Linked DNA regions of Pelodiscus sinensis. The protein of the gene in region 4 purifies or fractionates together with the protein of the main gene of each other region. This does not show direct contact. Links are inferred from orthologs where the notes say so. Each region holds a gene or a part of one and is shown on either strand. Other genes may lie near its edges.

The links.
Region 1: the proteins of CAPZB (region 4) and WASHC4 purify together in Homo sapiens (co-immunoprecipitation; 4 studies listed by BioGRID and IntAct, with this or other methods). This does not show direct contact. The link is inferred for Pelodiscus sinensis from reciprocal best matches to the Homo sapiens genes CAPZB and WASHC4.
Region 2: the proteins of CAPZB (region 4) and PPP1CA purify together in Homo sapiens (affinity purification with mass spectrometry; 3 studies listed by BioGRID and IntAct, with this or other methods). This does not show direct contact. The link is inferred for Pelodiscus sinensis from reciprocal best matches to the Homo sapiens genes CAPZB and PPP1CA.
Region 3: the proteins of CAPZB (region 4) and WASHC5 purify together in Homo sapiens (co-immunoprecipitation; 4 studies listed by BioGRID and IntAct, counting the BioPlex papers as one, with this or other methods). This does not show direct contact. The link is inferred for Pelodiscus sinensis from reciprocal best matches to the Homo sapiens genes CAPZB and WASHC5.

Annotation. Positions count from the first base shown.
Region 1 is NC_134711.1:97,591,197-97,598,990, reverse strand, and holds the start of WASHC4 (WASH complex subunit 4), read left to right. Parts: upstream 1-4,808; 5' UTR 4,809-4,852; coding exon 4,853-4,913; intron 4,914-7,794. Other genes in the region: ALDH1L2 (mitochondrial 10-formyltetrahydrofolate dehydrogenase), read right to left, coding at 4,458-4,808. UniProt on the Homo sapiens protein: Acts as a component of the WASH core complex that functions as a nucleation-promoting factor (NPF) at the surface of endosomes, where it recruits and activates the Arp2/3 complex to induce actin polymerization, playing a key role in the fission of tubules that serve as transport intermediates during endosome sorting.
Region 2 is NC_134714.1:127,061,798-127,069,705, forward strand, and holds the start of PPP1CA (serine/threonine-protein phosphatase PP1-alpha catalytic subunit), read left to right. Parts: upstream 1-4,905; 5' UTR 4,906-5,062; coding exon 5,063-5,117; intron 5,118-7,287; coding exon 7,288-7,419; intron 7,420-7,634; coding exon 7,635-7,865; intron 7,866-7,908. Other genes in the region: TBC1D10C (carabin), read right to left, coding at 1,135-1,339, 1,857-1,872, 3,263-3,448. UniProt on the Homo sapiens protein: Protein phosphatase that associates with over 200 regulatory proteins to form highly specific holoenzymes which dephosphorylate hundreds of biological targets.
Region 3 is NC_134712.1:18,604,261-18,612,054, forward strand, and holds the start of WASHC5 (WASH complex subunit 5), read left to right. Parts: upstream 1-4,788; 5' UTR 4,789-4,927; exon of another isoform or gene 4,928-5,042; intron 5,043-7,794. UniProt on the Homo sapiens protein: Acts as a component of the WASH core complex that functions as a nucleation-promoting factor (NPF) at the surface of endosomes, where it recruits and activates the Arp2/3 complex to induce actin polymerization, playing a key role in the fission of tubules that serve as transport intermediates during endosome sorting.
Region 4 is NC_134733.1:7,659,556-7,666,761, reverse strand, and holds the start of CAPZB (F-actin-capping protein subunit beta), read left to right. Parts: upstream 1-4,200; 5' UTR 4,201-4,271; coding exon 4,272-4,334; intron 4,335-7,206. UniProt on the Homo sapiens protein: F-actin-capping proteins bind in a Ca(2+)-independent manner to the fast growing ends of actin filaments (barbed end) thereby blocking the exchange of subunits at these ends.

The DNA.
Region 1 (7,794 bases), on a different chromosome or scaffold from region 4:
TATCTTATTTTAAGTTAAGTCCTGCTGTGTAGACGCACCCTATATAGACATCTCTATACACATGATTACAGAGCTTGGCAATTGTTCACAATGTCTGGTTAGTTCACTTTGTTCACATTTTGCAGTCTCATAAAAACTCACACACTCTGGAATATATTTCTCCTATATATTCAGTTCACGTATTGTTTTATTTTTAAAAATTGGAAGCTATATCCTGACTTTAAATATATGAGACCTTCACTGACTTCAATGAAAGTTGCATATACATGGAATATGGCCCTGAATCTCAAGTCTAAATTAGGGATGTGAATGGTTAACTGGTGGGGGGTCGGGAGAACCTACCCCCCCTTCTCTCACCTGTTATAGGCAGGGGATTTCTCCAGTTTCATGGGGCCCACAGCAGGCAGGGGGTGTTCCACTGGCCAGAGCAGTTCCTGCCCACAGCAGCACTTGCCCCGGGTGCCATGTGCAGGGGCATTCCACCCCCTATTTAATAGGTTAACCTTAACATTTAACCTGTTAACTAATTAAATGTGATTTTATATCCTTAGTCTAAATTAGGGCCCAGTTCCTCCAGGAGCTTAATACAAATGTGAAGATAACTGTGCATTTATCCATTTACCACTGAGTTAAATGGAAAGTGAGAGAACCTTGTCCTTTCTGATGCTCAGCATGTTGCAGGAGTGGGCAAGAGGCTGCCACTGGGCTGGATCCAGCCCGCCAAGCCATCAGATCTGACTCATGGCTGCCTCAGCAGAACCCTAAGGCAGAGATTAGTTCGGCTACGTCTACACTGGCATGATTTTGCGCAAGAACTCTTTTGCGGAAGAGTTCTTGTGCAAAAACTCTTCCAGAAGAGAGCGTCTACACTGGCATGTGCCTTTGCGCAAGAGATGTGCTTTTGCGCAAGAGCATCCATGCCAGTGTAGACGCTCTCTTGCACAAAAAAGCTCTGATGGCCATTTTAGCCTTAGGGCTTTCTTGCGCAAGAAATTCATGTTGCCTTTCTACACTGGCCTCTTGCGCAAGAACAGTTGTGCAAGAGGGCTTATTCCTGAGTGGGAGCATCATAGTTCTTGTGCAAGAAGCACTGATTGCACACATTAGAATGTCAGTATTCTTGCGCAAGAACTTGTGGCCTGTGTAAGACAGGCAGCAAGTTTTTGCGCGTTTTTGCACAAAAGCAAGCATTTTTGCGCAAGATCTCACCAATGTAGACACAGCCTTCATGTTTTTAAAAGCCAGCTGTTCTCTGCTCAGGAGGGCTGGGGAGGGAGAAGGAGGAGGACTTCTTGTGCTGTTCCCGCCCCCCAGCAAAATCTCTTAGCTCCCACTGGTCAATCTCTCAGTTTCCGGCTAATAGGAGCCAAGAATTTTTGATGGGCACAGGGGCGGAATATGAAGCATTCTCTCTCCCTCCCTCCTGCCCCTTCTCTCTCATGCCAGCAGTGGAACAATGAGCAGCCTACAGCAGGCTGTCTGCCTCAGGTTTCTGCTGGTAAGTGCCTCCCAGCCAGAACCTGCCTCTGGCACCCCAGCTCTCTATCCCCCCTCCACATACTCAAACCCTCTGCCTCCTCCTGCACCCATACTCCCTCCCAGATTTGGCACCACAATCTCCTGCCCCAGATCACAGTCCCCTCCTAGCCTAGGTCATATCCCAGAACCCTGCATCCCAGCCCTCTGCCCTAGGTCACAACTGTCTTCTTCACCAAAACTCCTTCCCAGACCCCATTCTTCCTCCTGCACCCCACTTCCTTACCCTAAGCTCCCTTCTGCACCTTACCTCCATCCCAGACCCCAGAATTTTTCCATTTATATCCCGGAAGAGTGCAGCCCTCGACCACTTTCTAAAATCTTGGAATGGCCCCTCATCAAAAATTATTGCCCACTCCTGGCATGTTGTATAATCAAGCTCTTAATTTTTTTGTGGCCTTAAAAAAGATATTTGCACAGAAACCAGTTAACTGAGGAGTGACACTAGTGCCATGTACCAAAAATACATACATCATCTCTCTTTTTTCAAGTTATCCCACAGATTGACTTATTATTTCTGTTATTTGACAAGAAATGAATCTCCGCACTATTGTTCCAAGTCTGTTCTTTTCACCTCTATTTAAACAAGATACAAATTGATCATGGAGATTTCAAATGTCTTAATAAAACACACACAGCAAAACCTTTCTTCCCTAGAAACCACTTTCTGTCTATATTTATTAGTCCTTTGGGCTCCTAATGGAATTGAATAAATGCCAAATGATGAAATTGCTGTCTTCACCTAGGTAAGTGTAACATGGGGCAAATCTGTAGCTGCTATGAATATAACTGCTGGTGCTCCTGACGCTATTGCAATTGTTAACCTTGATCTCAGTGATATTGCTCTTGCTGCTGTAGTCCCTTTTGTGGCTGTTATTCTTTCTATTGAAATTGGTGCTACCACTGGTGACACTGCTCCTGATGTTATTGCTACCTCTGCAGCTGGTACACTAGATGGTGGCACTGCTGTTCTCAGTGGACCTATTCTTGATGTTCCTCCCAAATCCTGTAACCTTAGGTGCTCCCCTTCTTTATTGCTGCTCTTATTTTAAACCTAATTATTGCAATGGCTGTTATTACAACTTTCTGCTGCTGCTTTGGACTGGAAGTAGGGATGTAAAAGGTTAACTGGTTACCAGGTAAGCATTAGTCTTACTGGCATGCTTACCTGTTAACCACAGTGCCTGGCTGGTGGGAGCAAATTCTCCTTTCTTCCGTTGGCCTTTGGCCAGCAGGACCTCAGTTGCAGGGGGCCTGGCCGAGCCAGCACGGACCCCTGGTTACGCACCTGCAGGGCCAGATCATGGCATGGCTAGAGCAGCACCCCACCCATGGTATGGAAGGGCCAGAGCAGTTCCCTGCTTTCCACACAACCAGGCCAGAGCAGCCCCCTGGCTGTGGTGCTGTTGGTGTGGCAGAGGTCCTGCCAGACCAACAAGAGCCCATGAGCTCTCCATGGTTAACTGGTGAAATTATTATAAGTATATTGTTTAACTTTAATGGATATTTACGTCCCTAGTCAGACATATTATTTGCGACCTAGAAGCTGGAGTCAGGGTCTCAGTACATATTTCACAAACATGGGGGAGCCAACAGCCATGCTGGACCCCTGGGCAAAGTGAGGGGGAGCGTGGCTTTGCATTTCTGGAAGGGGGGGGGGGTAAGGAGGCCTGGGCAGAAGGGCTGGGGCAGCCAGCCCTCACTGCTGTTCAGATGACTAAGAACTAGCCCCTTCCAGTCTTTATAGTAGCCTGAAGCACATCATGGGGTACTCTGGCAGCAATTTAAAGGAAATGGGGTTCCAGGCACTGCTACAACCCTGGGCCCTTTAGAAATGCCAGACCCAAGGGCAACTGCCCCTATTGCCCTCCTTCCCCCCAGCCTCCGCATCAGCAGGCCTGCACAAACCAGCCTCCGCATCAGCAGGCCTGCACAAACCAGAGCTGAAAGTAAGCCGGTGTGCTGTTCTGGCAAGAAAGAGCTGGGTTTGATGAAGCACTTGGCTGCAGGTGGAGGTGTGGCACACTCCCAAATGAGCTTCTGAGATTTGCAGGGTGCTATTTATGGAGTGAGTGACCCAGGCTGTGAGCTTCCCTTGCTCAAGAGTGTTGAAAGGGAACAGGAAGCAGACTCCTAGTATGAATCTTGGTGAGTGGGAGGCTTGACCTCCCTGCTGTACCATACCAATTGCGCCTGTGCTCTCTGCATCCACACATACCCCATGCCCTGAGCCCCCCTTCACACCAACCCTGACTCCTGCAGCTACCAACATACATACCAAGCTCCCTCCCCTGAGCCCCCACATCCTCAAGTTCCTGCCCTGACACCTCCACACACACCCTGCTCCCTGGCCTAAGACCGTATCAATGTTCTAATTTTTTCCAACAATGTGCAGAATAAATTTTTGTTACATGCACTGTGGCATGTGCAGGTGTGCACCCCAAGTAGAAAAACATGCTACCAGCTGTGGGCATTGTGGGTGCTCAACTAATCAGCTGAGTAGCATTTGAACCTTTCCTGAGTGCCCATGTGCTCAGCTTAGAGGGAACACAGGACTCCACCCCCTAGGCTCCGGCCCTGACGCCTGCACCTCCACTCCCTCCCTTGAGCCCCCCACACTGTCTGTACCCCATATTGTATCCTTTGGTATATATGGTTGTGACTATTTTCTTCCACTATTTGATCTGAGGAAGTGGGTCTGGCCCACGAAAGCTCATCACCTAATAAACCATCTTGTTAGTCTTTAAAGTGCTACCTAGTCCTGCATTTTGCTTCAACTACCCCAGACTAACACGGCTACCTTTCTATTACCATATTTACAGGGACTGTTGTATGGCAACTCCACGCCCTCACCTGCTACAACAGTGTCTGTAAGAAATTTAAGTAACTTTCATCAAACCCAACACAACGTCCCCACTCACAGTGTTAAATAGATCAGACAGGTCCCGGGTGGGGAAACTGAGGCACCGGGAGCGACGCCACCTGCGGTCACCCAGGAGCTCAGTGTCAGAGCCGGGAATGGCTGCCCGGGCTCCGGCCCCGCAAGCCAGCGCCAGGCGCACCGAGCGGGGCTGTGGCGGTTGCCGGTCCTGCCCTTGCACCGCGGGCCCAGCCAGGCGGCGGCGGCGGCTGCAGTTCCCACGGCTGCTCCAGGAGGGGGCGCTGCTGCTGCGGCCCCTCCGGGCCAGGACCTGGCTCCTTCGCTGGCTCCGTCCCTGCCGCCCTCGCGCTCGCCCCGCCGCACTCCATTTCCCGGCGTGCAGCGTGCGCATGCGCGCCGCCGGAAGTCTCGTGCCGGAGGCCGGGCGCTGCTGCCATGGCGCTGGAGACCCTCTCTCCGGACTGGGAGTTCGACCGCTTCGACGACGGTTCCCAGAGTAAGCGGCGGGGGAGGGGCGCGAGAAGAGCGCCCCGGGCCCCTCCCCTTCGCAGCGGGGCGCGGGCGGGAGCCAACGGCCAAGAGCGCGGCCGGTGGGGGGGACAGGGACGGTTGCACCCGGTTGTCCAGCAGCGCCTGCCTGTCACGCGCGTGCCCTCCGCAGGCGGGGGGGGGGGGAGGGGAGTGACCCTTCCCTGCTTTGTCCTGGGCCTGGCCCCCTGGGAGGCAGCGCGCCCGGAGCCGGCCGCGGGTCAGTGTCGCTCGTCCCGGCCCTGTCTGGCTGCAGGCTGGGCTTGGGGTCGCACCGGTGTCCGGCCTGGTGAGGTCACCGCCGCCAGCTGCCTGCGCTGGGGCAGGACCAGGCAACCTGTCCTCGCCCATCCCTGCCTGCTCTGGCCGCTCTCCAGTGATGGGGCGTCCCTGGCAGCTCTTACCGCGGGAGTGTTTCTAGTACCTGCGCCTCCCTTGCTGCAGTTTAAGGCAATTGACTTCTTATCTTGGCTTCAGTGGCTATGGAGAGCAGTTGATCATCGTTCCCTGTGCCCCTTCTCTCAGTGTATTTGACGGTTATCATCAGGTCATCCCCTCCTCCCCGGTTTTTTTTCAGGACTAAACATGACTTTTCTCCATAGGTCAGGGTTTTGTGTGTGTTTTTTAATCCTTTATTATTTTTGTTGCTCTCATCTGGACTCTTTCCAGTTTCTCCAGATCTTTCCTAAATTGGCACCCAGATTTAGATAAGTTCCTAGCTAAGCCCTCACCAGTCCTGAGTAAAGTAGGAAAGTACTTCCTTTGTCTTGAATACAATACTCCTGATAATACCTCCTTTCCCCCAGAATATTAGCTTCATTTGCAACTGCATCACATTGATTCATATTCAGTTTGTGGTTTAAAGGTTCATCTTTCTTTTGTTTTTCCTCCCTCCACATCCCCAGTAACTACTTGAGATAATTTAGCAAATATCCCAAACAATCATGGGAGAATCAAACAAGAGGGATAAACTGACTTTTGTCTGGTGTATTTACATGCATTGGGAATTTTTCCTGCTGAAACAGTGATGCCTCTTTCTTTGCAGTTTGTCTTGATTAGCAGATAAGTCACGCTAGAATAAATTAGTTCCGTGTTGTGTGTTTGCTGTGGCTTGAAGGGAACTAAGCCGGGCATTCTCTTGCAATTTCACTTCAACTTTTTGAATGACGATTAATTCTTTGTCAGCCTGCATGTGTGCCATTTTCTGTCCTTGTAGATTACTTAGTTTCTAAGAAAGTTCATGGAATGCACTTGTTACACTGTAAAGTACTGGATGTGCGGGGAATGGGATTGCTTCTCAGAAAACCATACAGAAAAGAAACAGAATTACCAGGCAGGTGAAAGAGGCTGGTTTGGGGCAGTCCCCTCAGAAATTTCTGAAGTGGCTCCTGATCAAAAATTATTGCCCACCTCAATCTAGACCATCCCTACCCTGCTCTTAATGTTACATTATCAGGTATAAAACTAGGCTTGGCAGAATTCAGCTTTTATTTTCTTATAATTTTGACAGATAATGTTGATTATTTTAAAGCATTTTATATGTTTAGATTTTCATTATTGCAGGAAATTACAGGAAGATTAGGGACCTGCTGGTGAAGGGTGGCAGTCAGTGTGCACATGGAGCCAGCTTAAAAGTGCGCACTGGCTTTCCAGGAGTGTGGCAGCAGGTGGGAGCCAATGTGAGCTGGGAGCCAGCATAAAAGCTGTTTACTGGTGCGCACTAGCTGCCACCTTGTGTTGTTGGTTCGGGTAACTGTTTTCAGTCGTTATACATTTAACCAATTACCTGCTTTTTAACATCCCTAATTGGTAACCTTTTAGGTGATATGCAAAAACAATATTTTACTCATTGATAGTCTGTAAATATCTTTAGCTTCTCATAAGTGTAGGTTTATTAACACCGGTGAATTGTCTACATTTCATCACTCCTGAATGGCTAGTCAGCTACTGGCTAGCAAATGTGAAAGACTGAGGACTGGAAAAGTTCAGTTTAGGTGCAGTAACATCATCTGTGTGGAAATCCATCACCAGGCTTCTGGGAAGGTATACAATATGAACACTGTCACTGGAACCAGCTTAGGGGAGGTGCCATCTTTTTTTATTATTCTTTGCTTCATAGGTATATAGCTAGAACTAGAACAGCCACCGCTCATTCAGTTTCTTGCTAATAGGAGAGAGAAGTCTTTCACTTCCCTTCAACATTTTAAGAGTGAAGGGAATGGGGACTCTCCCAACTTGTTTGCCAAGGAGTGGTGGGAGATGGTCATTGGTGATGTTAAAAATTGAGTATTTGGGTAACATTGTAACTGCTGAGATTGTCAGCAATTACACAGTTATATGTGCTGCAGGCTCTGCAGTATAAAGCTTAGCTATGGATAACTGTATAAGTAACCATTTAGCTTTTGTACTGGGGAGCCTGCAATAAAGCTATCCTGGGAGCAGGGCCACCAAATCCTGCCATCCTGGCTCCCAGGGAGGTGGCTTCACTCACTGCTGCCCTGGGAGCTAGTTGAGTATAAGCAAAACCATTAACCAACAAGCACCATTGAACCTCACTAGCACTTCTGGTTTTGAGAGAACAAGTATAAAATGGGGTTCCCTTGGAAAAGCTGAGTTATGCTGGTGTAAAATAGAGAATAGACTTATGGCATCAGCCTTATGGTCTGTGATGTTCCAAAATAAGAGGTATGTATTATGTAATAAGAAATGTAGGAAATAAGAAAATGACACTTGGTGGCAGCTTTAGATTTCTTCTTTTGCAGCTTTCTGCACTGTATACTTGAATGATAGATTTTAAACCTAGTTAATTAAACAAACCAAAAGGATTAGCTATCCTAAATCCTTTTCTT
Region 2 (7,908 bases), on a different chromosome or scaffold from region 4:
GGGGGGGGGGGCTGCCTTAGCCCCACTGCACTACCCCCCAGGAGCCATCTGTGGTAAGCAGTGTCCAGCTGGAGCCAGCGCCGATCCCCTGCCCCAGTTAAGTACCCTCTCTTGCATCCCAAGCCCCTGCCCCAGTCTCAGCTCAGAGCCCCTCTCACACGCCAAATCCCTTAGTCCAAGACCAAAGCCTGCCTGGTGAAAGGGAGGGAGAAAAGGGGCAGGAGGAAGGGAGTGAGCAGGGGCGGGGCCTCGGAGAAGGGGCGGGAAGGAGGCAGGGAAAGGGTATTTGGGTTTGAGGTAGATCTTGGATTGCACTTAAATTCAAAAAGCGATCTTGGGCTTCAAAAGGTTGGAGACTATTGGTGCAGACTCTTCCGAACCCCACCCCAAAAGCTCCAGCAACCCCAACTTAGCCAGCCATGAGGCTGCTGAAGCCGACTCTGCCTGAATCCAGCCTTGGGACACTGCACCTCCTTGTGATTCCCAGCTGGGGGAAGGAACAGAGCGTGAGCCGGGGTGCCCTGGGCCATTGTGCCTTCCTGGCAGAACTGGCTCATTAGCAGCTTGGTGTAGGGACCCTCGGGGGCACCACTGGCAGGTCCCCTGGGCCAGGGCTCTCTTACATCAGGCTGTTAGGAAGAGGGGACTGGTGCACAGAGGCATGATGCAAGAATTGCAAACTGTCCCCCTCCTCAGTGCCCAAGACCCTCATTCCCCAAGCTCCACCCCTTCCCTGCTTTTGCCCCACCCCTAGGAGGAGCAAGACTCGGAAAGAGGCAGGGGGCAGGGCAACACCCACAAGCTGCTACTCTTAGCTTGGGGTGTGGCCTGACTCATCCCCAGGCCAGGGGCTCAGTTTCTCCGCGTATGTCCATTCTTTGGGCTTGAACACCCCATAGCCTCAGTGCACAGAAGGGGGGGATGCTGGATTCTGGCACAGAACCCAAGAGATTGTTCTGCGGGGCTGGCAATGGGGGTGTCAGTCCAGTACCCACAATGGCTCCAGGGTGCAAGAAATCAGGACTTGGAATAGAACCCGGCATCTGGGCCACCCCAGCAATGCCCTTCACAGCACCTCCCGCCCCCACAATGCCCCCCTTTTAGTGCTCCGATGCCCAGATGTGTCCCACTCACCCATCCTGGGCACTGTTGCCCCCTAGGAAGCCGTAACGGTCCGTCTGGCGATAGGGGGCAGCCCCATTCAGCTCAGAGTCGGAGCCCAACGAGCTGGAGTCATCATGGCGCCCCAGGGTGGAGTCAAAGGCATCGGACAGCTCCTCCAGGGTGCTGAGGCTGGAGGAGTCAGCGGAGGACATAGGGCCGGATGCCATGCCGTGATCTCAGCACCCTGCAGGGGAGGGAGGGCAGGGACAGGGGCCCGCAGTGAGTGCCCAGCAAGGCCAGCCCAGAAACGAACATCCCAGGAGACAACCCTGAAGTATAACTTGCCAGGCCCCTCTCCCCGTCCTCTCCAGGGGCTGCCCAGCCAAGGCCCCTCTTACTCATTCCTCCCAGGGTCTGCATCACACAGTCCCTGCTCCATCTCTGCCAGGTTCTGCCCAGCTCAGGGTCCCTCACCCTATCCCCCTCAGGGTCTGCCCAGCCCAGCCACTGAACCCCCATCCTACTCAGAGTCTTCCCAGCCCAGGGGCCTGCACCCCCATCTCCCTCTGGGTCTTCCCAGCCCAGCCACTGAACCCCCATCTCCCTCAGGGTCTGCCCAGCCCAGGGGCCCGCACCCCCATCCAGGTCTGCCAAGCCCAGGCCCTGAACCTCCATCTCCCTCAGGGTGTGTTCAGCCCAGCAGCCTGCACTCTCATCCCTCCCAAGGTCTTCCCAGCCCAGGGTCCCCTCACCCCCATGTCCCTGCACCTCCACCCCTCTCAAGGTTTGCTCCATTCAGGACCTGCTCCTCCATCTCCTCCAGGGTCTGCCCAGCCCAGGGCTCCGCATCCCCATCACCCCTATGGACTGCCCCACCCAAAGCCCCATCCTACCATCCCCGCCGGATCTGCACTGCCCAGAGTCCCACATCCCCATCTCCTCCATTGGGAATGGCCCAGGGCATGAGCTAAGGGGACTGGACACAGTGGAGGTGAGTGGGAATGCGGGTCTGCCACACACCCACATCCCCTCCAGGATCTGCCCTACCCAGCCCCACACCTCCATCTCCCCCAGGATCTGCCACACACCCACATCCCCTCCAGGATCTGTCCTACCCAGCCCCACACCTCCATCTCCCCCAGGATCTGCCACACACCCACATCCCCTCCAGGATCTGCCCTACCCAGCCCCACACCTCCATCTCCCCCAGGATCTGCCACACACCCACATCCCCTCCAGGATCTGCCCTACCCAGCCCCACACCTCCATCTCCCCCAGGATCTGCCACACACCCACATCCCCTCCAGGATCTGCCCTACCCAGCCCCACACCTCCATCTCCCCCAGGATCTGCCACACACCCACATCCCCTCCAGGATCTGCCCTACCCAGGCCCCACACCTCCATCTCCCCCAGGATCTGCCACACACCAACATCCCCTCCAGGATCTGCCCTACCCAGTCCCCACACCTCCATCTCCCCCAGGATCTGCCACACACCCACATCCCCTCCAGGATCTGCCCTACCCAGCCCCCACACCTCCATCTCCCCCGGGATCTGCCATACACCAACATCCCCTCCAGGATCTGCCCTACCCAGGCCCCACACCTCCATCTCCCCCAGGATCTGCCACGTACCCACATCCTCTCCAGGGTCTGCCCTACCCAGGCCCACACCTCCATCTCCCCCAGGATCTGCCACGTACCCACATCCCCTCCAGGATCTGCTCAACCCAGGACTCTTCCCCTCTAGGGTCTGCTCAGCTCAGGGCCCCTCACCCTCATCTCCCCTCAGTTCCAGTGGAGGGCCCTGTGCTCCCATCTTCCCCAGGGTCTACCTAGCCCAGGACCCCTCCCCCCCAGCATCTGCCCATCCCAGGGCTCTGAACCCCGACCCTTCCATCCTTGGTTCCAGCCCAGAGCCCCTGCATTCCCATCCCCTGGTCCTGAGGCCCAACCCCTCTAGCCCTATGTGTACTGGAAAGGGAACACGTGTAACATCCCTCTCCCACACTCACACAGAACCCTGCCCCCCCCTTCTCTTTTCTCTCCTGCCTCCAAGCCTGGCCCCAGTACAGCTCAGGGAGGTTCCTATCGCCTCCTATTGCCCCTCCAGGAGCCCTCCCACTGAGCTGCTCCCCCGTTCCCACTCACCTCCACTGTGTCCAGTCCCCTTAGCTCATGCCCTGGGCCATTCCCAACGGAGCAGTGCCCAGGCGGTGTGGCCCTGCATCTGTCCCGTGGCAGCACCTCAGTCTGGTGCACTCCCCGTGGGTGCTGCAAGCTTATTTCCTCCGCACTGTCATTTCCTTTTGCACCTGACAGGGCTGAGGCAGCAAGCAGCATGCGGGTGGGGGAGGGGGAAGTGTATGTGGGGCAGTGCTGCCACCCTGTTTCCTGTAGCAACCCCTGCTGGCAGAGGCTGGGACTGGAGTAGCCAGGCACTCCCCCTCGCTCCTAGCCAGTGCCTCCACTCTGCTCCCCACAGCGCCCCCTGCTCTCAGAGTGAGCATCCCTCCCCACAGTGCCCCCTGCTGGCAGAGGCTGGGACTGGAGTAGCCAGGCACTCCCTCTCGCCCCCAGCCAGTGCCTCCACTCTGCTCCCCACAGCGCCCCCTGCTCTCAGAGTGAGCATCCCTCCCCACAGTGCCCCCTGCTGGCAGAGGCCGGGCTAGTGTAGCTGGGAGCACCTTACAGCTAGTGCCCGCACCCCCACAGCGCCCCCTGCTGGCAGAGGCCGGGCTAGTGTAGCTGGGATCTCCTTACAGCTAGTGCCCCACCTCCACAGTGCCCCCTGCTGGCAGAGGCCGGGCTAGTGTAGCTGGGATCTCCTTACAGCTAGTGCCCCCACCTCCACAGCGCCCCCTGCTGGCAAAGGCCGGGCTAGTGTAGCTGGGATCTCCTTACAGCTAGTGCCCCCACCCCCCAGCACCCCCTGCTGGCAGAGGCCGGGCTAGTGTAGCTGGGAGCTCCTTACAGATAGTGCCCGCACCCCCCAGCACCCCCTGCTGGCAGAGGCCGGGCTAATGTAGCTGGGAGCTCCTTACAGCTAGTGCCCCCACCCCACAGCACCCCCTGCTGGCAGAGGCCAGGCTAGTGTAGCTGGGAGCTCCTTACAGATAGTGCCCCCACCCCCCAGCACCCCCTGCTGGCAGAGGCCGGGCTAGTGTAGCTGGGAGCTCCTTACAGCTAGTGCCCCCACCCCACAGCACCCCCTGCTGGCAGAGGCCGGGCTAGTGTAGCTGGGATCTCCTTACAGCTAGTGCCCCCACCCCCCAGCACCCCCTGCTGGCAGAGGCCGGGCTAGTGTAGCTGGGAGCTCCTTACAGCTAGTGCCCCCACCCCACAGCACCCCCTGCTGGCAGAAGCCGGGCTAGTGTAGCTGGGAGCTCCTTACAGATAGTGCCCGCACCCCCCAGCACCCCCTGCTGGCAGAAGCCGGGCTAGTGTAGCTGGGAGCTCCTTACAGATAGTGCCCCCACCCCCCAGCACCCCCTGCTGGCAGAAGCCGGGCTAGTGTAGATGGGAGCTCCTTACAGCTAGTGCCCCACCCCCACAGCGCCCCCTGCCGGCAGAGGCCGGGTCTAGACTAGCTCCGTGCTCCACCTGCAGCCTGCGCTCCCACCCCGCTCCCCATAACTCCCTGTGCTGGCCGAGGTCCGGCTGGTGTCGCTGGGAGCGCCCGGCAGCCAGCGCCCCCTGCTGGCAGGGGACGGGCTGCGGAACGGCGCCCCTCCCCCGGGGCTCTGGGCGGGTGGCTGCCAATGATCCCTCCGCTCCTCTAGGTGGGGCGGCAGGCCGCGCGCTCCCGACCCGCCTCCTGGCTGAAAGCGGCAGAGCCGGCAGGTTCTCGGCCCCAGCAGCCTCCAGTCGGCCCGGACCTAGCGCAGCCAGGCGGGTGGGGGGCGAGTGCAGCAGCAGGAAGCCAGGCGTCCGGGCCTGCCCCTCCGCAAAGCCGCCATGTCGGAGGGCGAGAAACTCAACTTGGACTCCATCATTGGGCGGCTGCTGGAAGGTGCGGGGGAGGCCCGAGCAGGGGGCTGCGGGCGTGGGGGGGGGGGCTGCCCGGTTGCATCCTGCCCCCCCCCCCCCCCGTGCATAGGCTGGGCCGCCGGCCGGGAAGGGCTGCGGGAAGCCCCGGGGCTGCAAAGACCCGGGCCGGGCGCTCCGGGAAGTTCCGCGTTCGCTCCTTTGTTTTCGCTCGGCTCTTCCTGCCGGCTGGGCGATCCCGGGCGGAGGGCGGCCCCACGCGGGGCTGGGCGCAGGGAGTGGGTGGGTGCAAGGAGGGCCGGGGCTGGCCCCTACGCGGGAAGGCGGCGTGGGGGTCGCGGAGCTCCAGTGGTCTCTTCCACGCTGCCCCGGGCCCCTGACGGGTCCGTTTCGCTGCAGCCCCGTGTGGGGCGCGCTGCCCATAGGCCCCATGGAGGAGCTAGAGACTCCTATTCCTGGAGGCGCGGTGGGGGCTTGATCTCAGATGGGGGGAAGAGTGTGGCTGTTGGTGGAGGAAGAGGGGGGCAGGGAGTGGGGTGTTCCTGGCCTTTCACCCTCCCCGCCACTTAATTCCACGCAAAGAATGGGGACTATCCCCCAGGCCGGCCCCCAGCAACATTAGTTATGGGGAGCGGGGGGGAATCGAGCTCCCTTCACCCCACCCGCCCCCAGAGCCCTGCTGTGTCTGACGTCAGTTTCCTTCTTCCTGAAAGCCCTGGGGGAGTGTGGGGAGGAGCCTGAGTTCTGGAGGGCTGGGACCGGCCTGAGCAGTCCTGGGGCCAGAGTAGGTGCGGGGAATGTTGAGTAACCCCTGCTTTCCTGGCCAGCCCCCCCCCCCCCCTTGTGTATATGTGAAACGGGGAGGGGGGAGGTGTTAACCAGTCTTCCTAGTGCTAACTTCTTTGTTCCAGTGCTGCCAACAAAATGTGTGGGGGAGATTAGCTGTTACTTCCCTGATCCTTTTAACACTAGGGGTGTTGGGGGGGGAGGGGACCCCAGCTACGTTGGCCAGATTGGCAGCAGACCACTGGGGCTAGACCCTGGGCTGAAGCAGGTGCTGAATGGCAGATTATGTGATCTCCCATTCTTGTCCATCACATATTGCAAAGCAGAGGCATCGGTTCCCTGTGTCATATAAGGAAACCGAGGCACGTAAGGAAACTGAGGCATGGGGGACGGAAGCAGCCTAAGATTAGAGCAATTCAGAGGTGGGGAAAGAACCCAGCATGCCAGTCCAGCATCAGTTGCTGGGCCACCTGCCTCTCGAAGCTTGTGTATTCTGCAGTGTGCGGTGGCGGAAAGCACTCCAGTGTGACCAGTAGGGCAAGTGTGGCCTGCCTGAGAAGGAGCCACAGTTTACCTATGTACATTGCCCAAGAGCTACAGTAATTTGTCAGCAGTCCCCATCAGGTGCCTCCTTTCCCGTCTCCATTATCTTTTCCCCACCAGATGCCCCACCGGTCAGCGCCTCCTTTTTCTTTCCCGTACCTCCTGCCCACTGCAATCAGCTGTTTCAAGGCACTTAGGAGGCTCTGTGGGGGAGGAAAGGAGGGAGGGTGCGATACACTTGGAGGAGGAGGTGGAGCCGAGTTGAGCACTGGAAGGTTGGCAGCTGGAGCTGCAGCCCCGGAGTCAGTGCCCTGAGCAAGGAGTCACATATTAACTTCAGAAGAGCCACAGGTTGGCCACTCCAGAGCTAGGGAGTAGGGAATAGGCTTCCCTCTAGCATGCACCAACTCCGATCCTACTCCATGGTGGGGGGCACTGGCTGACTCAGCAGGACGAGGGAGAGGGGCTCAGGGCCTCCCAGCTGTCCTAGTGTTTGAAGAGCCCATCTGGGTTCTGGCCAAGGGGCCTGTGTGATCCCAGCCTAACTGCGCCTCCTTGAGCTGCCTGCACAGATCAGTGAGGACCCAGGCTAGGCCAGGACTCTTGTGGTGCCTTCTTCCTTCCCCCTTTGTTGGTCTTGAGTCACCTGTTAACCTGGCCTTCAAGTGGAAGGGGCAGGGCAAACCCTTGGCCTTTGGCTGGGATGTGGTACACGGGCCTGTCCAGAAGAACCTCCGGGTTCAGCCCTGTGGCCCCCTGGATCATTCCAGCATCTGTGGAGTGGCCCTGGGATCTGTGGGAGTGTCTCTGAGCAGTGCAGGAGCTAGGACCTCGACCCAGCAGACACCCACTGTTCTATGTTGCAGTGCAAGGCTCGCGGCCTGGCAAAAATGTGCAGCTGACGGAGAACGAGATCCGGGGCCTCTGCCTCAAGTCGCGGGAGATCTTCCTGAGCCAGCCCATCCTGCTGGAGCTGGAAGCGCCGCTCAAGATCTGTGGTGAGTGAGGCTGGGGGGCGGGAGCTGCCGTGGGAGAGATGATGTGGGGATTCCCTGCACCCCTTGTTTGCTGTGGGTGGAGTCCCTGGCTCAGACCGGGCTGGGTGGGAGGTCAGGGGTGGAACTGTGGCCCCCTTGCTGGCCCTTTCCAGAGGTGACTCTTCGGGGGGGGGGATTTGGAGGGTGATCCTTATCTCACTTCCTGCCCTCCCCAGGTGACATCCACGGGCAGTACTATGACCTGCTGCGGCTCTTTGAATATGGGGGCTTTCCGCCTGAGAGCAACTACCTCTTTCTGGGCGACTATGTGGACCGGGGCAAGCAGTCATTGGAGACCATCTGCCTCCTGTTGGCCTACAAGATCAAGTACCCTGAGAACTTCTTCCTGCTGCGTGGCAACCACGAGTGCGCCAGCATCAACCGTATCTACGGCTTCTACGATGAGTGTGAGTGTGGCCCCTGCCCGAGTCCCCACCACCCTGCTCCCCA
Region 3 (7,794 bases), on a different chromosome or scaffold from region 4:
TAGTTTGGGGAGAGATGTCTCTCCCCCTCGACTGCAGCTATAGAGCTGGAGCTGGGAAAGGAGCAGATATCTCTTCCCCCTCCTAATCTCAGTAGCCAGCGAGGACTGCAAAGGAAGGAGGTTTCTCTCTCTGTCCCCCGCCATGACAGCCCCCAAGTTGGGGTTGGGAAAAAGGGCCATCTCTCCCAAGCAGCTGCAGCCCTGAAACTGGGGGAAATTGCCTCTCTCTCACCGGCACAGCCCAAATTCCCAACATCCCCTCTTTGCAACCCACTACCCTCTCCCACATAGCCATTGTTCCCCCCAAGGCCACCACCTCATCTTACAAGTGCATCACTTTCTGAGTCCAGGCACTTAATTAGTGGAGCCATGCCCATGTAGCCTCACTAATTAGGTGGGTGGCCCTTCATTATTCCCAGTGTGGCAGCACACCTTAGCTTAGAGGGAATTATCTCTGGACTACCTGAATGGAGCTCCTGGGCAGCTAGTGATCCACAGACCACAGTTGGAGAATCTCTGCTCTAATCTTTTGAAAACTGCTTGTTTTATTAGATTGTAGGATGTTAGGGCAGGCAGGGATTGGCTCTTTCTCTGTGTTTACACAATACATAGCATAATACATCTGTGGATGCTACCACGCTATAAATATTAAACGACAACAACACAGTAGGGCTGGAAAGTGCCTCCATAATAATCTAATTCACGCCTGTGAACTTCTGCTTGATTATTTTCATCACTGAACAGCACCTTTGGACTCTTACGGAGCACTTCAGAAGTACCGATCCTTGGCATTTTTGTAGCCCTATTCATCTTCTTTACACTGTTGAATATGAATTCTCACATTGATGTTCTGTGCTGTAGGAAAGCATTACACCCATTCTTCAGACTAGTGATGTGAAAGACTAGTCAGATAGAGGCAGCAAGGGGGGAGGAAGAAGAAGGGGTACCTCAAAGTGGCAGCACCGCTTGAAGCCTGGGGCCAGACGCTGAGCTACACATGGTGCTGCCACTTTGAAAAGCTGTGTGCCTTCTGGGGCCAGCTGAGGTGTCCCCAAGCTGCACACAGTGTTTCAAAGTGGCAGCACTACACGGAGCCTGGAGACAGCTGGGGAATCCACAGCTGACCCTGGGCTCAGTGCGGTGCTGCAGGCTCCTTGTGGCATTTCAAAGCTGCAGCGCCTAATGGAGCCTGGGATAAGCTGGAGACTCACCCCCGCTAACCCTGGGCTCCATGCGGCCCTGCCACTTTGAAACAACGCCACAGCATTTCACGGTGGCAGCTCTGCACGGAGCCCGGGGTCAGCGGGGATGTCCCAGCTGTCCCCAGGCTCCACGCGGTGCTTTCGCCTTTGAAGTGTAGCAATAGCCCTAGGGTGCCCTATTGACTAATGCATAGACTTTCAATTAGTCATTTACCCTATACTTAACATCCTTACTACAGACAGAAAACCTAGAGATTTCACCACAGTATTCTGTGCAAACCTGAGGTTATAAATTTCCTCTTGTAGTTTTACATAAGAACGGCCATACTGGATCATACCAATGGTCCAACTAGCCCAGTATCCTGTCTTCCAACAGTGGTCAACAGCAGATGTTTCAGAGGGAATGAACAGAATAGGGAGGTGAAAGGTTAACCAGTTAACCAATAAGCATCACCCTAAATGTGTAATGCTTACTGGTTCCAGTTAACCACAGGGGCCAGAGCAGCTCCGCACCCACTCCAATCAGGGGGCTACTCCAACCCCACAGGACCCTTGGCAAGCAGGGGCTTTTCTGGCCAGCCAGAGTCTGTGATGGGCCTGGCCCAGCCTTCCCACCAGAGGTTGCAGGAGCAGGGCCAGCAGCTCTCACCAGCTCCTCTGTGGCAGGGAAGCCTCCTCTCCAGGAGCAGAGCCGACAGGGACTGGTAACCCCACTCTCAGGGAGGCTTCACTGTAGGCTCTGCAGTATAAAGCTTATTAGACCATCTTTTTAGAGAATCTTTCTAAGCAGCCACTGTTCTTGTCCGTATGTCATGGGATTTTCAACATACCGCTCCTGTGCACGTGCCAATGCGGCCTGGCTCAGTGCAGCACCTCATGGAGTAGAGACAGTGGGAGCTGAGCCTGCAGAACACAAGGAGAGGGGAGGGAAAGGGAAAGGAGGGGACTGAGCCATCAGAGCATGGGGAGAGGAGACGGAGGGGGCTGAGTCTCCAGATCACCGCGGTGGAAGCAGAGCTGCCCCTGAGCCGAGATGGGTGGCTCTTTCCTTCTGGCCCCTGAGCACCGGGCGGGCAAGAACCTTGCAGTTTTTACTAGTGGAAACACACTATATTTAAGACCAAAAAGACAAAAATATTTAAACTTTTTAAAATCTCAGCAGTTCCACACACTGCGGATTCTGCAGTATAAAGTTTAAAGTATATATATAAAAAACACTGTGAGAAGACAATCTTTCTAAAAGCGCACCAAAAGACTAAAAATAAAGTTTTCACCTAGCAATTTAGGAGAAAGATTGGATGGCTAAATATGATTCAAGGTAGTTGCTAACTGTTAGCCATCCAATCTTTCTTCTAAATTGCTAGCAAACAGAGGCTAAGGACACCCACTGCATGGGGTTGCTTCCCTTTCCTTTTCCAATTCTAATATATCGTTTTTGAGAGGGGATGACCAAATCTACATGCAGTATTAAAGATTTGGACATACTATGGATTTATACAGAGGTATTAGGATATTTTTGTTCTATTATTAAGGTTGAGATTTTGCCATAGAAATTTTTCAAAGTCACAGACAGGTAACAGGCAACAAACAAAAATTCATAAAATCCATGTCTGTAAGGTGGGGAACCTGACAATCCGAGATCCACCCTGTTGGTGGGGTGACTTAAAGCTGCTTCAGACCCAGGAGCAGGGGTGGAGGCTGACAGCTGCTTCAACACTCCTGGTGTGGTGCAGCTGTAGTCAAAGAAGCCACATGGGTCCATTAAAGTCATGGAATCCATAACTTCCATGACAAAATTATATCCTTATTTACTATCTTTCCCTTTTCTAATGATGCCTAACATTGTTACCTATTTTGACTGCCTGGACATTGAACATGTTTTCTGTGAACTATTCACCATGATTCCTTGATCTCCCTCTTGAGGTCTAAATTAGCTAGTACAACTCATCACACTGTAGGTATAGCTCAGATTATGTTTTCCAACAGCATTACTTTGTGTTTTATGTCATTGCATTATTCAGATATTTATGCTTATACTGCACTGCTTTCTAGCTGCTGCCAGAAGGATGAGGAGTGTGTTTCTGACACTGTAGTTTCCTTAGTAAGGATGTTAAGAAGAGGGTAATTGACTCATCATAGTTGATACAATTTGCCTCTGATAGAGGCAGTGTGGGTGGGGGGACAGGTAGCACTGCAGAGACAGTGCTGGGGGAACTAGCTTTTAAGCAATCCAAATTGCTCTGAATCAGTGACCTGTCCTCTTCATTATTTACCAGGACCCCAATTTTTGTATAATTTACAAACTGTATCAATGATACTATATTTAAAAGGCAGAGCTGCAGCAGTGGACCCAGCACAAGATGGGATTCAGCAATCCTAGCTCACGCCGGGTCCTGGACCACCACACCTCTAATTTTTAAATGTAGTTAAGAAGCTCTGCCTTTTAAACGTAGTAAGTATAAATTGTATTGAGTACATGACTAGTCAATTACCTGCTACCTAACACATCCTTACTCTCAAGGCCACCCTCCCAGACACTCTGTGCTCCCCTTTGTTCTTCTGTCTTCATTGTCCTAATGCTGATCCCCAACCCCATCTCTCCCCATCCTCCGCAACCCGATGGGGGAAGAGTTCCAGCTGAAACATCTGAAACATGCAAGTCTGCCATCTTGGCCTTCCTATCCTGGGGCCACACCACAGGCTCTGCCTGGCAGGCATGGAGGTGACAGTAGCACTGCCACTTGGCTGGGGTGGGCAAAAGGGCACCCCTTGCTGGGCCAGGACATGGAGTGAGAGACTTCACATGTTCTCCCCCCCCAACCCCTCTGCCTGCCCGTAGGCCAAGCAGAGCTTGGGGATGGAGGGAAGCGTGCAGTCTCCTCCCACCCTGTAAGGGTTAGAGTCAACTGCCAGGCCCCCTTGTGGGGCAGGGGCAGGGAGCAAGAAATTTCCCCATGTTTGCCCTGCTCTCATGCCCTCATTGACCGGAGGGCAGGGGGAGCAAGCAAAGCCTCTCTCTCCCTGTCCCCACCTTGCAAGGGGCGCCCTTTTGCCCACTGCCAGGGACATGGGTGCCTAGAGGGAACAGCTGGTGGTTCTCTATGGGGGGGGGGGGGTGAGGGCAAAGACTTCACAGGGTCACCCAGGCCAATCGGGGTCTGTGGACAGGAAAGCAAGAAGTGTCCTGGCCCCTCCCCTTCCACAGTGGCCAGGGGCCACTTCAAAAATTTCTGAAGTGCCTCCCGTCTAAAATTATTGCCCACCCTGCTCTAGACTGACCCATGCTGGAGGGAGCTGCAAGAGATGCCTCAGGGGCAACAGATGCATCTTGTTAGGGAGCAGCCTCTGGAGTCTAACCTAAGTGGGGAGCATCACACACACACACACACACTACACTCCTAAACACACACACACACCCTCTCACACACACACACACACAGCTGAGTGCTTGAGGGAGGCCTGCCAGCCTCTCCCCCGCCCCCTCATTGCTGGCTGCTTCCCCCTCTAGCAGCAGCCGCCCGCCAACCCCTACTCTGCCCGTAGCTCTGGCGGGGCCGCAGCTGCCCCCCTACCTGGTGCCAAGCCCCGAACCGGCAGCGGCAACAGGCCGCGCTCGCCTCCCCCCCCACCGTTGGCGAGGTCTCTCCGCGGCGCAGGCGGGCCGCGGGCAGGAACCGACTCATCAGCCGGCGCCGGTGCACATGACCCAGGGCCGCCGGCGCGGGGTAGGCGGGCCGCTGCGCGGAGAGCTTCCGTGTGGGGCGGCCGGGCCTGCAGTCGCCTGCGTCGGCCTGAGAGGCCTGGGGGAGCCCGGCCAGCAACCGGGGCGCGACTGGCTCAGTAAGGGGGGTTGACAGGCCCTGGTCTTTCTTGGGGGGCTCATATTTGGGGTGGAGGGGGGAAGCAGGGGCTCCACCCACCCCTGAGGAGGCGGGTGCTTTGACTTTGGGGGGCGGTTAATTCTGGGGTGGTCCTGTGCTGAGGGGGTGCTATGACTTTGGGAGATGCTGTGACTTTGGGGGCGGTTAATTCTGGGGTGGTCCTGCGCTGAGGGGGTGCTATGACTTTGGGAGATGCTGTGACTTTGGGGGCGGTTAATTCTGGGGTGATCCTGTGCTGAGGGGTGCTATGACTTTGGGGGCAATTAATTCTGGGGTGGTCCTGCGCTGAGGGGGTGCTATGACTTTGGGGGGCGGTTAATTCTGGGGTGGTCCTGTGCTGAGGGGTGCTATGACTTTTGGAGATGCTGTGACTGTGGGGGCGGTTAATTCTGGGGTGATCCTGTGCTGAGGGGTGCTATGACTTTGGGGGCAATTAATTCTGGGGTGGTCCTGCGCTGAGGGGGTGCTATGACTTTGGGGGGCGGTTAATTCTGGGGTGGTCCTGTGCTGAGGGGGTGCTATGACTTTGGGAGATGCTATGACTTTGGGGGGCGGTTAATTCTGGGGTGGTCCTGCGCTGAGGGGGTGCTATGACTTTGGGGGGCGGTTAATTCTGGGGTGGTCCTGCGCTGAGGGGGTGCTATGACTTTGGGGGATGCTGTGACTTTGGGGGCAGTTATTTCTGGGGTGGTCCTGCGCTGAGGGGGTGCTGTGACTTTGGGGGACAGTTAATTCTGGGGTGGTCCTGTGCTGAGAGGGTGCTATGACTTTGGGGGATGCTGTGACTTTGGGGGCGGTTATTTCTGGGGTGGTCCTGCGCTGAGGGGGTGCTGGGGATTAGTGTGGGGCTGGCTGTGCTGGTGGGAAAGTGGGGGGTGTTTGTCAAGCACTCTCTGGGCATTTCTCTGGAGGAGAGGATACCGCGCAAGTGCCTGGTGGCTGCGGATTTGGTGCAAAGGAAAATGGTTTGCGCGCAGGGGCGGGCAGCGAGTGGGGCTGAGGTGTATTCCAACGCACATGCTGGAGATCACAGCTGGGTGAATGCAAATGACTTCTTGGGTATCCCCTTGAAACATACTGTGCAAAAGCGATAGAAATGTAGCCGTGTTAGTCTGGTGTAGCTGAAACAAAAGCAAAAGCCTTTGACTGCTAAAAGCAGCCTTTAATAATTACACCAAAATGAGGGCCTCTCTCTGTCCCAGGGAACAAGACCTAACCGCTTCTGCGAATTATTCCTTTTGGACAACTGTCAGGCTGACTTAGAAATATTTTAATGTGATATTCATTTAAAATCAAGAAACCATTTTTTTAAGAACAGGATGAGGAATAATTTAAAGCCCATTCATGCTCTCCTTGATTTAGGCCCTGGTCCTGCAATAAGTACTGTACAGGCCAACTTCTGCACCCATGCAAAATTCATTCCAGGGCTGTGTACTTAAGAGAAAGATTGGACCCTTACTAGGTGTGTTGTAGCAGAGTGGCTTTAAAGGAGAAGCTTTCAACTTGCATTTAGCTCAACATTTCTTAAAATAAGCTTTTGTGAGTCTAATATAAATACAAAAGTTTCCACAGATGGTTTTTAAAAATGAAAACAGATGTCTTTGACATTGTTGCAGTAAATATCTCACAGGGAAAGTGATCATAAATATAATTGCCTTTGATTTCCATTGGCCAAGCTGAGAGACATGCAAAAATGAAACAAATTGTTTAACTGAACTGTTTGCAAGCTTAAGACATAATTTTCATTTCTTATTCATACTTTACATATGATTGTATTGACTGAAATTGTATGAAGAAGGAGGTGCTTGCAACACTTGTGATTTTGTTTTAAGAAGCCTTGTTTGCGCTCTGTGTTTGCTCCAGTGACAACTGTAGCTCAGGCTGTGTTTCTGGATACCTACCTTCTCTTCCTACCTCTGTCACTTACTTGTTTTGTCATCTTGGGCAAGTAATATAACTTTCCTGTGGCTCAGTTAACTTATTCCTGTGGGTCAGATAATTTATCTATAAAATGGCTATATTTATTGTGACAGGTTTGATCATAGAGAATACAGAAACGATACATGCATATATAGATTATACACATTCAGTGGATTACATGCTTTTCAAATAGAATTATATGCTATATATTGCACAAATCATATTCAAGTTAGGCATATTCATATTCAAAAGCATATTTCTGTAAAGTATATGGAAGTGCAACTTCACATTTATGTTTACCCCTTTTGTAAAAGAGGACTACATATTAGATAAATATTTCAGCTATATTGGAAAGAGATTGTTACTGGTTTCCATTAGTATTAAAATACATTGTGCAATATAGTACAGTGAAATATACCAATACCACCTGGGAGTAAAGCAGCAACATATTTGTTTTCTTATAATGTTCTCTTTCTTTGGGGAGAGAGGGCCTAGGAGTTCCCTAGCACATAGAGGCACATAGACAAATATAAACACTGCAGCTGGTTAAGGTGTTCTTGGGCTCTTTTTAACTGGGAAAATTAAGATTTCTGACTTGGAGAAAGATCACTATGGCTTGGAAATTTAACCACAATACAAAAGGTGTCTGTGTAGCAATGAATAAATGACCCTGAACTGTAATTAGCTGTCATTGATCTATGCTGTAGCATATTTGCTTGTGTTGTGTTGTAGATCTAAACTGCTCTGTGCAATCCTTGTGTCAATGTTTACATTTTGCTGCAAGGCCTGAC
Region 4 (7,206 bases):
GTCATCTACTTTTCACATTGTAGGTGCCAGTTCACCTAGTAGCTGTATGTGCACTAAAACTTGTCTGAAAACCTATCCATTTCCCAAACTGAAATTTGAGGCTGCTTAATTTGTGCTATTTGTTACATTAAATACAAATACATGTATTTGGAAAAATACTGGAACATATCTAATATATTTAATGGCATTTTGGTTCAAGCAATGGACAATGGTACAGGCAGTCCCCGAGTTACGCGAATCCGACTTACGAGACCAGGGAGATGGGAAGCAAAGCCTCTGAGGACGCCGTCAGCGGGACAGCCATGGCGCCTCTGGGCTGTCCGCTGCCCGCGTGCTCCGCGGCTTTGCTCCACGTCTCCCCAGACCAGGGAGACGGGGAGCAAAGCCGCGTAGCACGGGGGCAGCGGACAGCTCGGGTGCCGCAGCTGTCCCGCTGCCGGCATCCTCAGAGGCTTTGCTCCCCATCTCCCTGGTCTGCGGATCCGACGGCCCAGCGGACAGCCCAGATCAGCAGACCAGGGAGATGTGGAGCAAAGCCGCGGAGGACCCAGGCGGCGGGACCGCGGTGCGTCTCGGTCCCCCGCCTGCGTCTCCCTGGTCTCCTGGGGAGGGGCAGCTAGTACGCCCTCCCCTCAGCAGTCCAGACTTTTCTCCCGACGCCTGGGGCAGAGCAGCTGGGGCGCTGCCGGTTGGTCCCGCAGCGCCGCTTTGGGCACTACTGGACCAACCCGGCAGCACCCCAGCTGCTCTGCCTCAGGCGTCCTGATTCAGCCGCTGCTGGTCAGTTTCAGCAGCGCTGAATCAGGACGCCTGGGGCAGAGCAGCTGGGGTGCTGGTGGATTGGTCCAGTAGCGCCGAGGAGCGGCGCAACTGGAGCAACCCAGAAGCACCCCAGCTGCTCTGCCCCAGGCGTCCTCAAGCCAGCCACTGCTGAAACTGACCAGCGCTGACTACAGGAAGCCCGAGGCAGAGTTGCTCTGCCCCGGGCTTCCTGGAATCAGCCGCTGATCAGTTTCAGCAGCAGATGACTTGGGGACGCCTGCGGTTCTTAAGTTGAATCTGTATGTAAGAACTGGTGTCCAGATTCAGCCTGTTGAAACTGATCAGAGGCTGATTCCAGGAAGCCCGGGGCAGAGCAACTCTGCCTCGGGCTTCCTGTAGTCAGCCGCTGGTCAGTTTCAGCAGCGGCTGAATCTGGATGCCAGTTCCGACTTACATACAGATTCAACTTAAGAACAAACCTACAGTCCCTATCTTGTACGTAACCCGGGGACTGCCTGTATTAACCTGGTAAAGTAAAATCAGAGCTGTTCCCTCATCATATCCAGCCAGAAGGATATATGGGCATGATATTATATCCGTGGAAAATGTGAAGCAATTCCCCACAGAATAGAGCTTCTGTTACAATCGTAATGGAAGCATTTCACACAACATAGCAGAGAATGTCATACCAGATCCAATGACATTACATCAGACGAGGAAACATTTTGTGACTTCTCGTCAGCATTTCCAGTTCCACAGCATGCACCTCCAGGCTAGGAAAAGTAAATGGAGCAACAAAAGGGTTTTTGGCTTATGCTAGTGCCAAGTCTGCAATTCATATGCCAAAAAGCATTAACAGAGGGTCCTCCGGAATCAGGCACTCCAAGTCTTGTGAAGCAGAGGCCAAACATTTGTTCCAAAAAAGCTATAGAGCAAAGTGCTGCCATGCAATGGGCCAGATTCTCCCTTGGCATTACTCTCCTGGCTTCAGTGGAGTTATATTTGCATATATATGGGGTTGGAACTGCAGAAATGCTGAGCACTTGCAGCTACAAACTGAAGTTGATGGAAGATGAGCTTTGAACACAAATATTTCTTTATAATACTCAGTATTCTGAAATATCAGGACATCAGTACCTCAAACTGGGCCCTCCCCAAAATAGTGGACATTTCTGGCCTTAATCCTAGTGTTTCATTTTCCTATCTGTATAATGGAAATGACACCACTCCTTTACTTCACGGCTACGTCTAGACAGGCATGATTTTCCGGAAATGCTTTTAACGGAAAAGTTTTCCGTTAAAAGCATTTTCGGAAAAGAGCGTCTAGATTGGCACGGACGCTTTTCTGCAAAAGCACTTTTTGCGGAAAAGTGTCCATGGCCAATCTAGACGCGCTTTTCCACAAAAAAGCCCCAATCGCCATTTTCGCAATCGGGTCTTTTTTGCGGAAAACAAATCTGAGCTGTCTACACTGGCCCTTATGCACAAAAGGGACTTTTGTCCGAATGGGAGCAGCATAGTATTTCCGCAAAAACCACTGATTTCATACAGTAGGAAGTCAGTGCTTTTGCGGAAATTCAAGCGGCCAGTTTAGACAGCTGGCACCTTTTTCCAGAAAAGCGGCTGATTTTCCGGAAAAGCTGGCCAATCTAGACACAGCCCACAGGTTTGTGGAAGCAAATTAATTGTTTGCTAAATGCTCAGGTACTATAGTGATAAACCCCACAGAAAAGCCCACATAGACAATTAATGTTTCTGTTTTCAGAGCAGGTTTTGAATAGTGTTACTTAAATAAAGCTGGGGGACACACATAAATCTAACACAAAATACTGAGTAAGAGTGCCAACTTTTCCAACCTGTGGGACCTGACACCATTATCATGAATGGTGCCTGGTCTCTCTGATGGGAAAAGGTAACTCTAAAGAATGATTACTCAATATCCTCTATGATCCCATGCATTGCGTAAGCCAGTGGTCCTGGGAAACACAGTATGTGACATTAGCATAATTAAAAATGGTACATAAATATGCACACAGGGATCAAATCCTAATTGCATGAGCAACCTTTATTCTCCATTTCTGAAGTTTTGAGTGCTGACTTTGCACACTGGTTTTCAGCTTTTATACCTATAAATGCAACTAGCACTGTTGTGAAAAGCCTGCCCCGAGTTTAAACACATGCAGTGACGTCTTCCTGATCCAGGCCCTTGTGAGAGGCGCGGTTGGCTGCCTCAAGATTCACTTTTTAAACCCAAGGGGCAATAGCAACACAGCAGAACTTCCAAGCCTCTGCCAGGCCCAGCCAACACACCCCTTTGCCGTTGGGTGGGGCCTCAATCTCACTTCCCCATTGGCCTCTCCTCCTCCTTGCCCTGATTGGTCACTCCCTCTGCACAGCTCCTCCCCCTGCACGTTGTCTCTCCCCACGCTGTTGCAAGTGGTTGCTCCCTCCTGATCTGTGTCTTCCCCCCACTCCGCTCTCTCTCCTCCATGTTTGTTGCACTCGCCCCATCTCATCTCGCAGGGATGTTCCTTCGCTTGCCCTATCCCTCGGCTTTGCCTATTCCTTCCTTCTCATTCTGCCTGGTATGGTTCCCCCTCCCCCCCCCCGGAGGAGAAAATGGTCTGTCCCACTCCTAGTTCCTCCCTGTCCCCCGAACGAACGACGCGTACTGCGCTCCATACTTGGCGATGGCCGGAGAACCGCGCTCGGATTGGTTAAGAAGCGGCGATGGGCGGGGCCGAGTCTTAGTGACCCGGATGCGCACTCCTAGGCAACGGGCACGGCGGAAGTGGCAGGGCTGCGGCCTGGCTCAGAGAGATACCGGACGGGACCGGAAGTTGCCGCTGTCGCTAGAGCCCAGCCCAGCGGAGCCATCATGGTAAGAGAGGCTTGGAGCTGCGGGCCGCCGGAGCGGAGCTGCCCCCCCCTTCCTTGGGGCCCAGCTCCCGGTGCTCCCTTCCACCCTCGCTCGGTTGTGCCCGCGCCCCCGGGAAAGGGGCCTGCTCCGTTTGTTGCATGGTCCCTTCCTGCCCGGCCCCCTCGCTCTAGTCCCCTCTTTCCCCGTGCAGCTCGGGCTCCTTCCTTCTCCCCGGCGGCCTGGCCTGGCATGGGTGTGCTGGCCGGGCAGGGCCCGTTGGGCTTCCTGCTCCCGGGCGGAGCGAGCAAGTTCTGGGCAGGCGGTGCCGGGGGTGGGAAGCGAGGTCGCATGTCGTGGCTGGAAAGTAGCGCGGGAAGGGTTGTGACGTGGTGGGACGGTGACTTGGGGAGGGCCTGAGAGCAGGTGGCTCCAGGGCTTGCATGATGTGGGGGAGGAGGGTGCAAGGGAGGTTTGCTTTCAGGCCTGCAGAGTCGGAAGGGCCGGGGAGGGGTGCTCTGCTAACGTGGTTTGGTGGTGAGAGACAGATGTGTTAGCAGGTGCCTCCAGAGCTGCATGGTGTTGTTTGGGGGAGGAAGAAAAGGCTCCCTGAGCTGAAGCTGGGCAGGGGACTGGGCATTCAAGGTGGTGAATGATTCTCTTCTGTAAACCTTCACCTGAAATTCAGGAAGTTAAGGTGATGTCAGCTAAAATGGTGAGACTGCATCTTGTTTGTAACAGGCAAACAAGCTACTGGAGCTCTTAACAGATGTGAACTGCTGTGAATCTTCATTTCTGAATGCAGGGATTGCAGATGTAGATAGGGCATCTGTTTCTTGAGATATTTAGCTTGGTTTACAATTCACTATACATTTATGTTATCATATTATCAAGTGAATGTATACTGTTTAGTCCTTTATGGCTTTTCAAGACTCTTACTTTAATTCTGTCTGTGAAATGGAAGTGTGTTGTGTGTGTGTGTGTGCCGAAGAATGTATGTCACTTTCAAAACTAACCTGTGATTATATAGTGGCAACTCTAATTTCTGGCTAAATTGTTATTATTTATAAAACTTGAATGGTCATTTTAAGGTTTTGGGCTACTTTGTAACACATGTAGACTTCTTTAATAAAGTGGATTGAAGTGTCATAACTCTAATACCTGGAAATATCTTGAAAGATCAGCTTATCCTTGCTTCTAGGGAAAGCTGTGTTTAGCACTAATAGAAGACCATGTCATGCTTGTGCATTGGTTTTCTTACGTGGATCTGGAGGTGTACTCAGTCTTGTTTGAGAGCTGCTCAGTGAATGGAATAACATGTTTCCTCTACCTTGCAATTTTTAAAACTTTTCTTTTATTTCAAATGGACGGCAGTTTTTACTTATCCTAGATTCCATTAGATACTTCCGCTATAAACAAGCACAAGACTTCTAGCCAAAGATCTGATGAAGTAGTTAGATTTACCAGGACAGTCTCATTTCTGTGTAGAGCCCCACTTCAGGCTCATGTCTGAGGGATGTCCCTCCACTCAGCAAATTGTAAGACTGATGTCCCAAAGTGGTGGTAGAGTACAGGCAGTCCCCGACTTACGAACGGGGCTTTCTCGCCCCGGAGGTCGAGGTGGCGGATTGCTGCCTGCGAGCTCCGGGGCGAGAGAGCCCCGTTCGTAAGCTGCTCCCGGTGCCCGTGGTCTGCTGAGGACTGTCTCCAGCAGACCAGGGGCACCGGGACTGAAGCCGCAGCAGCGGCGGGTTCCCGCGCTTCTGAGGCTTTGCTCTGGCAAAGCCTCAGAAGCGCGGGAACCCGCCGCTGCTGCGGCTTTGCTCCCGGTGCCCCTGGTCTGCTGGAGACAGTCCTCAGCAGACCACGGGCACCGGGACTGAAGCCGCAGCTGCGGCAGGGTCCCGCGCCTCTGAGACTTTGCCAGAGCAAAGCCTCAGAGGCACGGCACCCCGCTGCTGCTGTGGCTGTGCTCCCCGTGTCCCTGGTCTGCTGGGGGAGGGGGGGGGCGCAGCTAGTGTGCCCCCCCCCCAGCAGATCAGGCTTTTGTTGTGGACCCTGGGGCAAAGCAGCTGGGGCGCTGCCGATTGGTCCTGCAGCGCCGCTCTGGGCACTACTGGACCAACCCGGCAGCACCCCAGCTGCTCTGCCCCAGGTCCTGATTCAGCTGCTGCTGGTCAGTTTCAGCAGTGGCTGAATCAGGACGCCTGGGGCAGAGCAGCTGGGGTGCTGCTGGGTTGGTCCAGTAGCACCAAGGAGCGAGGAGCGGTGCTACTGGAGCAACCCAGCAGCACCCCAGCTGCTCTGCCCCAGGCGTCCTGGAATCAGCTGCTGATCAGTTTCAGCAGCAGCTGACTTGGGGAGGCTTGGGGTTCTTAAGTTGAATCTGTATGCAAGTCAGAACTGGCGGTCAGTTTCAGCAGCGGCTGAATCTGGACGCCAGTTCCGACTTACATACAGATTCAACTTAGGGACTGTAGGTTTGTTCTTATCTTGTACGTAACCCGGGGACTGCCTGTAGTTGAATCTTATAGCTGAAGATATTCATTTCCTTTTCATAACTGTATGAAGACTGGTTGAGAAGACGCTATTGATGTGCTAGTCTAAATATTGTAGAAAAATTCCTCTTTTGGGGGACTACTTTTATGCAGTATCAGTATTTAAAATCTTCACTGATGCTTTCAAGTACCTGAAGGCCTAACTTTTTATTTTTCTTCTAAGCAGCTGACAATGAGGTTCTTGTACCTTTGTACAGTTAAAATATTTATTTTTTTTATATTACAGTAGATTTTAGAGGCTCCAACTAAGACTGAGACCCCATTGTAAGTCCTTAGTGGATGGAATCCAGTCTTGCAAGGAAGCATTTAATTATACAAAGCATGAGTACATAAATTCCAAGGATAATGTGTGAAAGTAGTTGATACATTTTGATTGCACTCGCAAACATCCTGTCTTTATTATGTATGCTTTATTCAAAGAAAGGTAAACAAAAGTGAGTCAATTAACAAAGTTAAATATCACTTTATATTGTCTTATGAATCATTGCCTGCGCTTCAGTGCTTTTTCAGAAATTCTAATAGATGAACTATGGCCAATGATGTAGGTTGGGGCAATCATTTCTAGTTTGCTATTTTAAGTGGTTTAAGATTTTTCAGAGAGGGCTAGGGATATAAATGAATAGTTAAGTATACAATTAACCAATAAGCCTAAGTTTAATCTTAACTACTGGCATTCTCTCCCCCCTCTTCCCCCTTTCTGCTTCTGTATCAGAGGCAGCAGAGGGGTGTGTGTGTGTGTGTGTGTGTGGAAGCAGGTGCTGGGGAGAGCTGATTTAAAAGCCTCCCCCCCCAGCTCTACATTTCTGCCTCCTTCTCTCCCCCCCCCCCCCCCCCCCCATCTTGCAGAGCAGCCTCTGTCTGCAGTGAGCCTGGGCCCACTGTGGTCAGAGGCTGCTCTGTGATGACAGACTGTGTGTGTGTCCTTCCCCCCCCCCCAGACGGGGGCTGCTGCCGCCATGTGCCATTGCCTCTGTTTCAGAAGCAGCAGCGCAAGGCGGCAGGCAGATGGTCTGAACAGGGAGCTGGTTT